3 linked regions of the Caenorhabditis elegans genome follow. The protein of the gene in region 2 interacts with the protein of the main gene of each other region in a pairwise test. Each region holds a gene or a part of one and is shown on either strand. Other genes may lie near its edges. The genes, in order: hipr-1, pak-1 and chw-1.

What was found.
Region 1: the proteins of pak-1 (region 2) and hipr-1 interact in a two-hybrid assay, tested with the Caenorhabditis elegans proteins (one large-scale study listed by BioGRID).
Region 3: the proteins of pak-1 (region 2) and chw-1 interact in a two-hybrid assay, tested with the Caenorhabditis elegans proteins (one large-scale study listed by BioGRID).

The regions. Positions count from the first base shown.
Region 1 is NC_003281.10:8,718,681-8,722,436, forward strand, and holds the start of hipr-1 (Huntington interacting protein related 1), read left to right. Parts: upstream 1-1,521; 5' UTR 1,522-1,523; coding exon 1,524-1,795; intron 1,796-1,843; coding exon 1,844-2,100; intron 2,101-2,160; coding exon 2,161-2,684; intron 2,685-2,768; coding exon 2,769-2,880; intron 2,881-2,961; coding exon 2,962-3,323; intron 3,324-3,756. UniProt on the Caenorhabditis elegans protein: Regulates pre-synaptic vesicle recycling at neuromuscular junctions of mechanosensory neurons. Plays a role in maintaining a normal defecation cycle.
Region 2 is NC_003284.9:6,046,760-6,050,515, forward strand, and holds the start of pak-1 (Serine/threonine-protein kinase pak-1), read right to left. Parts: upstream 1,846-3,756; 5' UTR 1,840-1,845; coding exon 1,759-1,839; intron 1,600-1,758; coding exon 1,521-1,599; intron 1,473-1,520; coding exon 1,366-1,472; intron 818-1,365; coding exon 670-817; intron 622-669; coding exon 407-621; intron 363-406; coding exon 270-362; exon of another isoform or gene 121-269; intron 4-120; coding exon 1-3. UniProt on the Caenorhabditis elegans protein: Required for hypodermal cell fusion, together with cdc-42 and ced-10, leading to embryonic body elongation, which involves dramatic cytoskeletal reorganization.
Region 3 is NC_003283.11:10,460,653-10,464,408, forward strand, and holds the start of chw-1 (CHp/Wrch Rho-like protein homolog), read left to right. Parts: upstream 1-1,629; coding exon 1,630-1,830; intron 1,831-1,843; coding exon of another isoform or gene 1,844-1,936; intron 1,937-2,458; coding exon of another isoform or gene 2,459-2,595; intron 2,596-2,641; coding exon of another isoform or gene 2,642-2,712; exon of another isoform or gene 2,713-2,724; intron 2,725-2,739; exon of another isoform or gene 2,740-2,894; intron 2,895-3,212; coding exon 3,213-3,357; intron 3,358-3,405; coding exon 3,406-3,548; intron 3,549-3,697; coding exon 3,698-3,756. Other genes in the region: F22E12.3 (ShKT domain-containing protein), read right to left, coding at 1,844-1,936, 2,459-2,595, 2,642-2,712.

The sequences.
Region 1 (3,756 bases), on a different chromosome or scaffold from region 2:
TTCATCTCTATTCATTATGCAATACTCTTTTGGTTTTCAAGCATCCGACATTCCTCCGTTTCATTTATGTTTGCATTTCTGCTGGCATGAATGCATTTCATTGTGTCTCGATGAGAAAAAGGACAATTTCATGAGCTTATCAGTTACTTCGTTTTCAAAATTTTAATGTTGACCAGCCATTGATGTCATATTTTGTCTAAGAAGCTCAAGAACTATTATTTTTTGAAGCTTAATTTCGAAGAGCAACATTTTTTTTCATTAAAATTCAGCAGTCATTGTTCTTTAAAAAGTTTTGATTCTCGTTTTTAAACGATTTTTAATTCAGTCGAGAATTGAATAACTTCCCGATTTCCCGGCCACCATCGTTTAATACCTTTTCTTTATGAGACTAACTTCCAAGTATGCAAATTGCAAATCGACGCAAGGGGAATACACTCGCTCACTTCTCATCGAAATTCGAAACCTTTTCCCATTTTCTTTCATGTCTTTTTCGCTTTTCTCCTCTCTGCCCATTTCCATTTATTTCTCAAACACCGTTCAGTGAACACGAAAACCCTTACGGAAATTGTGTTGTAAGAATACAAAAACTTCCGTAGCATAGCGAGAAAGAGTCACCATTTTGTAGTGTTTGCCCCCGGTGGTATAGTTTGCACAAGTTTCTGAAAGAAGAAGAAGACACATTTGAGGTCTTATGCACATAAAAATCAATGTTAGACTATCTTTTTCACGTAGTTTTCTTTTGCAAAGTGGAAACTTCTCATTAAACACTTTTTGCTTTTCAATTGTCTGAACAAGTTTTCGATTAAACAGCTGTAAAGCTTTTGCAAGTTTCATGGTTTATGAACTATTTCGAATCGGTTACATTGCTGAAGTTTTAGTGTTTCTTGAATATGTCGTCACTACCAGGACTGGACCAAAAATCAAAAAGAATTTAAAGTGAAATACCAAAAAAAAAATCGTCGATTTGCGATTTTTGAAGGACTGTAAGTGACTTTTTTGGCTTCATTTAGGTCCCAAAAAACCTTTTTTTTCTCAAAAAATGTGACTCAAAATACCAAAAAAGTCTTAACCTGATCACTTCGCCTTCTCAACTCAAGCCATTTTTGCTGTTTAGTTCGAATATGGAACAAATCATAAGAATCTTGAGTACCTATATGCGATACCCGATTCATTTTCCTCTCTTCTAAATAACATCATTTCCTCTCTTTTTCCCTCTCTCTCTCTCTCTGTTTTTGTTTGTGACTCACTTTGTCCACAACGCGCGCGGAACCGGCTTGTTGCCACACACACACTGTGATGAAATATGCGGGAGGAAAGCTTTTCGCCTAATAGTTGACTTACTTTTCATCTATATTCCTCAATTTTGCAACTAATAGATTGATTTGTCATGGTTTTGATTTCAGGGTTTTGAATATTCTTTGAAATTGGAATTTTTAACAAAAATGCAAATTATGTGCCAAGTCATATCTCCTCCTCACACTTTTTCTATCACATGCCCCCAAAAAAATTAATTTTTTTCAGGAATGGATCATCGTGCTCAAGCGCGCGAGGTATTCGTTCGAGCTCAACTGGAGGCTGTTCAGAAAGCGATCACGAAAAATGAGGTTCCATTGAAACCAAAACATGCGAGAACCATAATAGTAGGAACACACAAGGAGAAATCATCTGGAATCTTCTGGCATACTGTAGGACGGATTCAGTTGGAGAAACATCCTGTACTCACTTGGAAGTTCTGTCATTTGGTGCACAAATTGCTTCGAGATGGACATCGAAAGGTTCCTGAAGAGACTTACAGGTGGGGTTTCTTTGAAGGAGTGATAATCTTAAATTCAATATTTTTCAGATATGTTAATCGATTCACTCAACTTTCTCAATTCTGGAAACATTTGAATACAAGTGGATATGGTCCATGCATTGAGTCATACTGTAAATTACTTCACGATCGAGTCACTTTTCACAACAAATATCCAGTTGTTCCGGGGAAGTTGGATTTGAATGATTCACAACTGAAAACATTAGAAGGAGATTTAGACAATATGTTTGAGATGACAATTGATATGTTGGATCAGATGGATGCACTTCTTGTATTGCAGGATAGAGGTTTGTAATGATTTTTTCAAGTCTGGAAAATTATTGAATTATTAATTTTCTATTTTTCAGTGTATGAAATGATGAATTCCCTACGCTGGAATTCTCTAATTCCACAAGGACAATGTATGCTTTCTCCACTGATTATTGCAATTCTGGATACCAGTAAATTCTACGATTATCTCGTTAAAATGATCTTCAAACTTCATAGTCAAGTTCCTCCAGATGCATTAGAAGGTCATCGTTCCAGATTCCGAACAATTTTCGAGAGAACTAAGAAGTTTTACGAAGAATCATCGAATCTTCAGTATTTCAAATATCTTGTTTCAATTCCAACATTGCCATCTCATGCACCGAACTTCCTTCAACAATCCGATCTTGAATCTTATCGAACACCTCATGCATATCTTCATTCGGAAGGTTCAGAAGATGGAACTTCTCTCAACGGACATGACGGGGAATTATTGAATTTAGCTGAAGCAGAGCCACAACAAGCGAGTCCATCGAGTCAGCCAGATCCTAGAGAAGAACAAATTGTTATGTTGAGTCGTGCTGTTGAAGATGAAAAATTTGCGAAGGAACGACTCATTCAAGAAGTAAGAGTTGATTATTAAAATATAGTTTTTTTTTAAAACTATCATAAAAATAAACAAAATACAACATTTTTTACTATTTTCCAGGCGCGCAGCCGCATCGAACAATATGAGAACCGTTTATTGCAAATGCAAGGAGAATTTGATCACGCAAAACGAGAAGCTGATGAGAATCGAGAGGAGGCACAGAGACTGAAGAGTTCGTTTTTTTTTTTGGAGAATGATATTTTTCTCAAAATTAGTTGGAAGTCAGATTATTATTAATTAGATATATTTTCAGACGAGCTTGCACTTCGTGATGCATCAAGAACTCAGACAGACGATGCACGTGTAAAAGAAGCAGAATTGAAAGCAACGGCAGCTGAGGAAAGATTTAATAAAATGAAAGGAGTTTACGAAAAGTTCCGAAGTGAACACGTTTTAGCGCTCACAAAATTAGGAGATATTCAAAAACAACTAGAAGCTAGTGAAAAATCGAAATTCGATAAGGACGAAGAGATTACTGCTTTGAATCGAAAAGTAGAAGAAGCTCAACGAGAAGCTGGAAGAGCTTTGACAAAGGCGGAGGGTGATGCTGGAGCAGTTGATGAGATGAGAACTCAATTGGTTAAGGCTGATATTGAAGTTGAGGAGCTGAAAAGGGTAAGATTTGAATTTTTTAAAGTTTTATATACATTCAAAATTCGGAAACTCCTAGACTTTTTTTATAATTAAATTTATCATAATAAATTCACAAATTTTTAAAATTGAAATTCTCACTTTGAGAGAAAGGGTGTCATCGAAAAAATAAACATTCCCGAAAATCAAAAAATCGAAGAAAACATTTTTTTTTTCATTCGAATTTCGTTTATTTTGATGAGAAAAACATAAGAAAATATATATTTTTTTCTTAAAAAAAAACAAAAATGGTTTAAAAAATTGAATGCTGTTTTTTTGTTGAAAAATTAGAAAATCTGAAAAAAAAAACAAAAATTTCCGATTTTCTGGAAAATCGATATATCGAAAAAATTACATTTAAAACTAATTTTGTTTAACACGAGGAAACTAAGTAAGTTTCTATGAAGACGAAAAATGG
Region 2 (3,756 bases):
GTACTGAAAATATACTTATATGTTATAGAGAACTTGGGAAAAATTCGGTACTTGTGTATTACATGCCCTCATTTTGAAATTGAATTAAATTTTCATTCATTTCTCCATATAATTTAAACGTGATATACATTTTTCCTCTCCAGGCTTAGAAAGATTATTTCCTAAACCTAGAAATAAAAAATGTGGTACACGTTTTTATTGTTTTTAACTTAAAAAAATACTCTAAAACTAAGGGCATGTAATACACAAGTACCAAAAATTCTACTCACAATACTCAACGTCCTTGCCGGCCTATCAGGGATAGCGGGAGGAACAATATCAGCAGGAGTTTCACCATGGGGGACCGGTGGCGGTGCATAACTCTGAAGCAATCAATATGAACTTCAAGATTATTCTTCCCACTTACCGGTGGCATACTCGATCTATTCTCATTTACACTAAACGTCGTCGGAGGAACTCCTTGCTTGCTGTTATACCCCGCACTACTTGTACTGGTTGTCATTGGATTCATCTTTCTTGGATCCTGAATTTTATTGCCATGATACGGCAGGGATGATGTGCTATATGGTTGCGGTTTCAGTCCGTATGATGGCGTCCGAGAAGGTGCGTCATCTATAAACACTGTAGAAGAATGAGCTCCATTAGCAAGACTGACTACGGGTTACTTACTCATATCGTACTGCAACCACTTCTGGCCGCTGCTTTCGCCTTGTGTGTAGTATTTGAGCGCGTCCAACACTGCCTGAGGATTCTGTTGCTGCTCTTGTTTTGAGATCTGTGAGTCTGTGAGAAGACGTGCCCATGCTTCAGGCATTCCCTGAAAATTTATATTGTTGATAAGGAGCAAAAGTTTCTGAGAAAAGTTTATAAATAAGATTCTACAGTAGTTTCTCAAGTCTATTCGACAAAACAGACCTCTTCATACTAAAAAAATTGGGACAATTTCATAGGTCTTTAGAAGAAACTATCTTTGGTTGAATACATGTTCGTGATAATTGGCTTCACTTAAATTTTTCTCGTATGGATTTGTTTTCTTAAAACGTCTCAAAAACGCAAGCTTTATTAACACTAACCATGGTTTCAAGAATAACACGTTTTTAGAAGATAATGCACTGAATTAACGGTTGCAAAATATTATTATAAATTGAGATTTGTTTATAATGATTTTTTGACTGAGGGAAAAAGTAAAAGTAGTAGTTTTTAGTTTTTAGCTTACTATTAGCATTCACGTTAATCTGGTACGATTAGCGGTTGCGACCGGTGTCAGAATGACAGCTGTATCACTCGTTCATCATTGGAAAATAATCTTGCAAGTAACGCAAGAGTGGGAAAACTGCTACAAAAACTTTTTGAAAAAATACTGACCGTAAATTCGCCGGTTTTTGGGTCATATCCGACATGAATTGTGTGTTCGAAATTGCTCGGTCGAGAGATCACTGGTTTTTCTGACGCTTCCTTTTTGTCTTTGTTCTCTGAAAAAAACAGGAAAATCAGGAATGGTTACAAGAGCAATATATTACTTTTCATGAACGGGTTAGGCATCGTCTTCTTTTTCTTGGTTGCTTCTGGCTCTTTGGGCAATGGCTTCAATCCGACGACCTGAAAAATTGAGTTAGTCAAGACATGGAGAATGGAAAAAAGAGAAATAGAGATGGGTGGGAGAGGGGCAAGCAACACATGCATCATCTGATTTGGAAGAAGAACCTTCGAAAGATTGTCGCCCATCTTTGGGGAGGAGTGGAGGGACGAGTTAATTACCTGATTCTCCCTCGTTGCCGAGCTGCTGAAACGAATTGGTGGTGCTGGTGGTTTCTCATCATACGATGAGAAAGCTTTCATTTTGGCAAGCCTGGAAAATTGAAACTGTTGGAAAAAGAAGACACAAGCATCAAACCAAAAAAGAATGAAGGAATACAGTATGCAATGTAAAACTGAAAAAGGAAAACAATAATTAGGAGGAATTTTCGTTGTCAAGTGAAATCGAAACTGTTGGAAAAATAGGAAAATTGGAACCAATATTCATGTTTTGTTGAGTCAAAAAAACATAGAAAAACGATCACAATAAAGAATCAGAAAAAGAAAGAACAAATTGCTGACCGCCCCCTTATAAAAAAATTGTTGGACTATGACTAACAAAAGAGGAAATTGATAGGAGCGGGCAGGGAAATGGATGCACAACACATGGTGTAAAGAGGACATTGACCCAGTGCTATGAGTAATCTTGGACCGAAAAAGCATGGCCCTTTCGCCTTTCGAGGTCGTCTATTGGATTGCTTTTCTATATTTTTTTAGTAATCTCAGGGTAGGAGTTATGGAAAATGTGGGACCCAGAATTTGACCTTTTCTTCGGAGTTCTCATTTGCATTATTGCTTCAAAGAGCCTATCTGCAACCAACGTCTGACGTGAGTTTGACCCGAAAAAGATAGATGGCTTTTTGGTTTTCAAAACGAAAGATTTCAAAGTTTAGGAGATGATGGATGGTGAATAAACTGGGCCAGAGGAAGAAGAAGGAATATTTTTCAAAGGAGAAAAAGAAGAGACGGGAATCTTTTTTAAAGTGTGATGATATGAGTCATTCATGTTTCACTTCATTTTATCGCCCACCACCGTGTGTTCGCGTACTTGTTTCCCGCTTGTCATCCAAGTGGCAATCAGCCGGATAATGTTCTAGAAGTGTGAAGCCGAAAAGAGTAGAAACTGTGAAACGAGGTTCGGAGTGAGTGACAATGTTGAGAACTAGTTTAGGAAATTAGAAAGTGAAAGCCGAAAAAAAGCTGAAAAGTTTGCATTCATACTAACGGTGAATGATGATACTTTTGGTCTAATACTATTCTCGATTAAAGGAGGGGTATCGGTTTTGGGTTTTTACTTGTAAGCACTCAAAATGTTCATAAAGGAACAAATTTAATAATGAGACCTCATAAAAATCATAGGGGGTTGATTGTGGCCATTTTCAATTACGTATGGGCTTTAAATGTACATTCATTAACAAAATAATGTAAGAAAATCACCAATATGCAATAAAAACATTCTAATCTTCAAAATAAATTTTCCAACAGCTGAGACATGAAAAAATAGCCAATTTTAATTAAAATTAGGTGTTTTTAAAATTTCAGACCGCCATAAAAAATTGTTGAACATTTTTTGAGAATCCTCATTACATAATCTGTTAATTTGGGAATATTTACAATCTAGACCTGCAAAAACCCAAAGGAAAATCACAAAACCGAAAGAAAAAAAAAAAAGAAAAATGAGAAACAAAATCTAGGTATCTAAGATTTTATTACACTGTCGATAAGAAATCCAATCTCATTTTGCACAATGTAGAAAAAAAACAGTTCGAAACCTGGACTGTTTGCTAGAAATGGAGAATGGCACTGTGTTTGTTGAACGCGCGCCATTTTCTAGTGTTATCAATTGAATGGAGGAAACAGAGAAAGATAACTAGTACGGTGGGTCGCGGATGATGCGGCCAAGGCAATTGATAAAGAGCTGCGGAGGGGCAAAACGGACGGATGAGGGGAGGATGTCGTTGGAGATAAAATCAATCGATAGCGGTCAAATGAAGAAGAACACACACAACCAGACATACGCACACACACATATACACGACAGGAAGGGGTGAAGAGGGAGTAAGAGATGTGAGTAAGAGAGATAGAACAACTTGGACAACCACCTAACATCTCGACCTCTCGACACTTATCATTTGGAGCTTCCTGAAATCTCAGTGAGCAGCAAAACTATTAGTGGGTGTT
Region 3 (3,756 bases), on a different chromosome or scaffold from region 2:
ATCAGACTTATTTCTCCGATAGCTATGAATGGTTGATTATTGAACCAGAAATATATGGAAAGAAAATGAAGAAAAGTGAAAAACAGGTTCTCAGGAAATCAGAAATAATTCTCGATGAATGGACAGTTGAAAATTCATCTCACACTCTCCTCCGTTATTATCTGTTATCAGCAAGCAGATTCCTTTTGCCAATTTTTCCATTCCTTTCGATGATTTCTTCATTGACCATATATCTTTTTTGATTGCCTCTTCTACACATTCCCAATTTTGTTTATTCTGACAAGGTCGAATCATGGTTTTTGTATTACGGACGGATGTATATATGAAGATACTGATATCTCTTTTATACGTAAAAGTATACATACCTTTGTTCTTTTCTTCTTATTTTCAATGTATGAATGAACATTTGGTATTTGAATGTTAACTACCAACTGATCAGAGACCTTCTCGATCATTGTTTTCTTTCCGTTTTTTGGGTTCTCTTAGGTGGAGACGTCCAAAAAATTTGATACAATTAGAACATTTTGGGATTTTATAGAACTTATTTTACCAGACAACACCTTTTTTATCGCGAAAATTAATCTCAGTTTTTCCTTTTTGAAACATTATATTAAATTTATCGTTTTCATGTTTGTTAGCGTAGCATGATATTTCAATGTTTGAAAACATTGTCCACACTTCTAAAACTCCTAATCATTTTAAGAAAATTTCTAAATTTTAATAATAATTACTAACTTTGATAATTGACAAATAACTAAAAAGTGGTTTGGTTCTCCATTTGTCTCTCTGTCAAAACAACAAAAAAAAAACTGAAACTTACAAGCCGTATTATCAAATCTCTGTGGTAATTCAAACTAAAACGTTTTGGCATAAACATTTTTTCTAAAATTGTATGCTAACTAGGACCTATCCCTGGATCAGGTTTCTTTTCTCCCGTCACCAATTATCAAACATTATCTACATCCATTAATCGACGCAATTATCGATCAGGGCGATAGACGGATTTGGTCATTTCTTCATGACTTTTTATTCTTCTCATCATGACTTCTATTCATCAAAAAAAAAAGATTTCTAAATGTTCACACATTTGCTATGAAAACAGTTGACGTTGTAACCCTGTAGTAGACCAGTTCATTCCTTCTCTTGCTTCCTTCTTTACCATTTTAGTTCACTCGCCGCTTTTACCATTTTACTATTATTGTTATTACTAATACTATAATATCATAGAGGTCATTTGTATTCGTTGCGTTCCCCGCTTCCCGAAAACCAATAAAACTTACGAGAATAATGACCGTATCTATTAGTTCTTGCATCTCAGCTACTCAGTACCAAGTTACCATCCAGATGACCCCGTAAATTTAAAAGTCAAAAGAAAACCCATGATTGTAAAATCATGAAAATCATTGGAAAAGAAGCAGTGAATCATTGAATCTTTGTCGCCACGTAATCACATTTTCTTGGTAATGGATCTTTCCCATTATTTGTCAGTTATGTTAATGTTCTACCCGTTTCTTATCCAGTCTTTCGATACTTCTCCCTTTCTACTTTTTCCCCTTTTTTCTCGCATCATTTACCTCATTTACAGTCTATCACACTTCTCCTCAACCCCCTAAAGTAAATAATTCACAGATGGCAAAAGAAGAAGATGAGAAATGTCTCAAATGCATTTTTGTTGGAAATGCGGCAGTTGGAAAAACTTCGATGATAGTTAGCTACACGACAAATGTTTATCCACACAACTACGTGCCAACGGCATTTGATAATTTCTCAGTTGTTGTTCTAGTTGACAAGAAACCAATACGTCTACAGCTTCATGACACCGCTGGACAGGTTAGTGACTCACTTATATTTTGGGTGATTCTAGCAACTGGTCCAACTGATTTCATTGGCGCAATTGCGGTTTCCATTAAAAGTTGCCGAATTGATGTTATGTTTTCTGGAATTAAAAAATGTTAGCATAAAATATTAATTTATTTTTCAAAAGATATTTTGAACTACTTATGCACTGGTTCCATATTTTGGTATTTTTTAGTCTCGCATAAAATCCTTCAATTTTAGATTGCCGGTTTTGTATTTGTAATTTAATAAAATCGAAACAAACATAGGTATTTATAAATTATCACCACCCCAAAGTACAACTTTTACAGTTCAATCTCAGTTTTCATTTGTTCTATTTGAACATTGTCAACAGGCAAAACATTTTTTAATTATTTTTATATCATTGTGCAATTAGGTATATATTTATATCATTATCAAAATAAACCGCGATACCACTCTTCAAAGTGAGATAGTAGGGGTGCCATAATATTACAGAAAATACTGTAAATATTTAGTTTGGCAAAAACTACAAACTAAGATTCTAACTAAAAATTTGAACGACAAGCTATGTATATCGGAAAATTCAAGTTTAAAAGTTAAAGCTCAATTTTGTAAAGTTTACAACTGAGAAACTACTCACCCAGGTTTTTGAAATTATACGGAAGTGATTGCACAGTTGTTGTTCTGATAGGAACTGAACTTGAAGTTGCTCTGATTCTTTGAATACTTGGTGGTAATTTACGAATATTTGGTTGATTGAACCTCCTCACTGGATACCTACAACTTCTAATGTTACACATTGACCAATACAATACAAGTTAACCTTTGGAAACCAAAAGAAAATCCAATGAAACATATTATCAAAGTTGAGACTAAGATTCCAGAAGGATACATTGAGAACAAGTGAGCTATTCAAAATGAGATGCCCATTCGGATATGCGGCTTCGTTTTATGGTAGACAAGAAATTTAAAAACAAATAATGTCTCTGCCGAGGTGACAGGGTCGGATGTCAAATCGAAAATAGAGAAATGCACAATGGCGGATACAAATACCGGATGAGTTTCGGACCGGCGCGCGCAATCCGGAAACAATAGAATAACGGCATTTCAAAGGGATTGAGCATTCGAGAACAGAATTTAGTTTAAAACGAAGATGTATGGCATGCTATATTAACTTTTTGAGTTTTCACACTCATTAAAAGATCTCTTATGGGATTTTTGCCCCATTTCTGTACGAGGAAAAGTTCAGAAAAAATTTATTGCACAAATATTACTAATATGAATGAGTAAAATAGATTACAAACATCCCAGAACTGATAAACCACCTTTTCAAAAATAATATACAAATTTACACTTTGATCTTAAATTTAATTAAATTCCAAATTCTTTTTCAGTCCTCATTTGACACTCTTCGCCCGTTGTGCTACACAGATGCTGACGTCTTTGTCATTGTTTATTCAGTTGTTGATTTACAATCATTTGAAGATGTGTCACATCACTGGTATCCGGAAGTCACCAAGAGAAATCCGGGGACAAAATGTATGTATACAAATTTTTGGACACAGTCCATTTTAATAAAATTTTCAGTAATTCTGGTGGGAACTCAAGCTGATCAGAGATGGCAAGTACGTGGGAATACTGTCACGCAGTTACGCGGAAAAGCTTTAGCAGACAGACTCGGAGCTGAATTTTTTGAATGTTCAGCACTGACACAACACAATTTAAAACAGGTTGGTTGATTTCTTAGAACTTCGCAAAGATATTTGAATTCACGAAAAATTTTCAATCCAAACAACATTTCTGTGTTTTATCTCCTGATTTTGCATGAATAAAATACTTCGGTATAATTAAACACTGAAAATAAATGAATTGATTCCAGATGTTTGACGCAGCAATTTTGGCCGGTCTCGAGGGAAAGAAGAATCGAGAGAAACGATC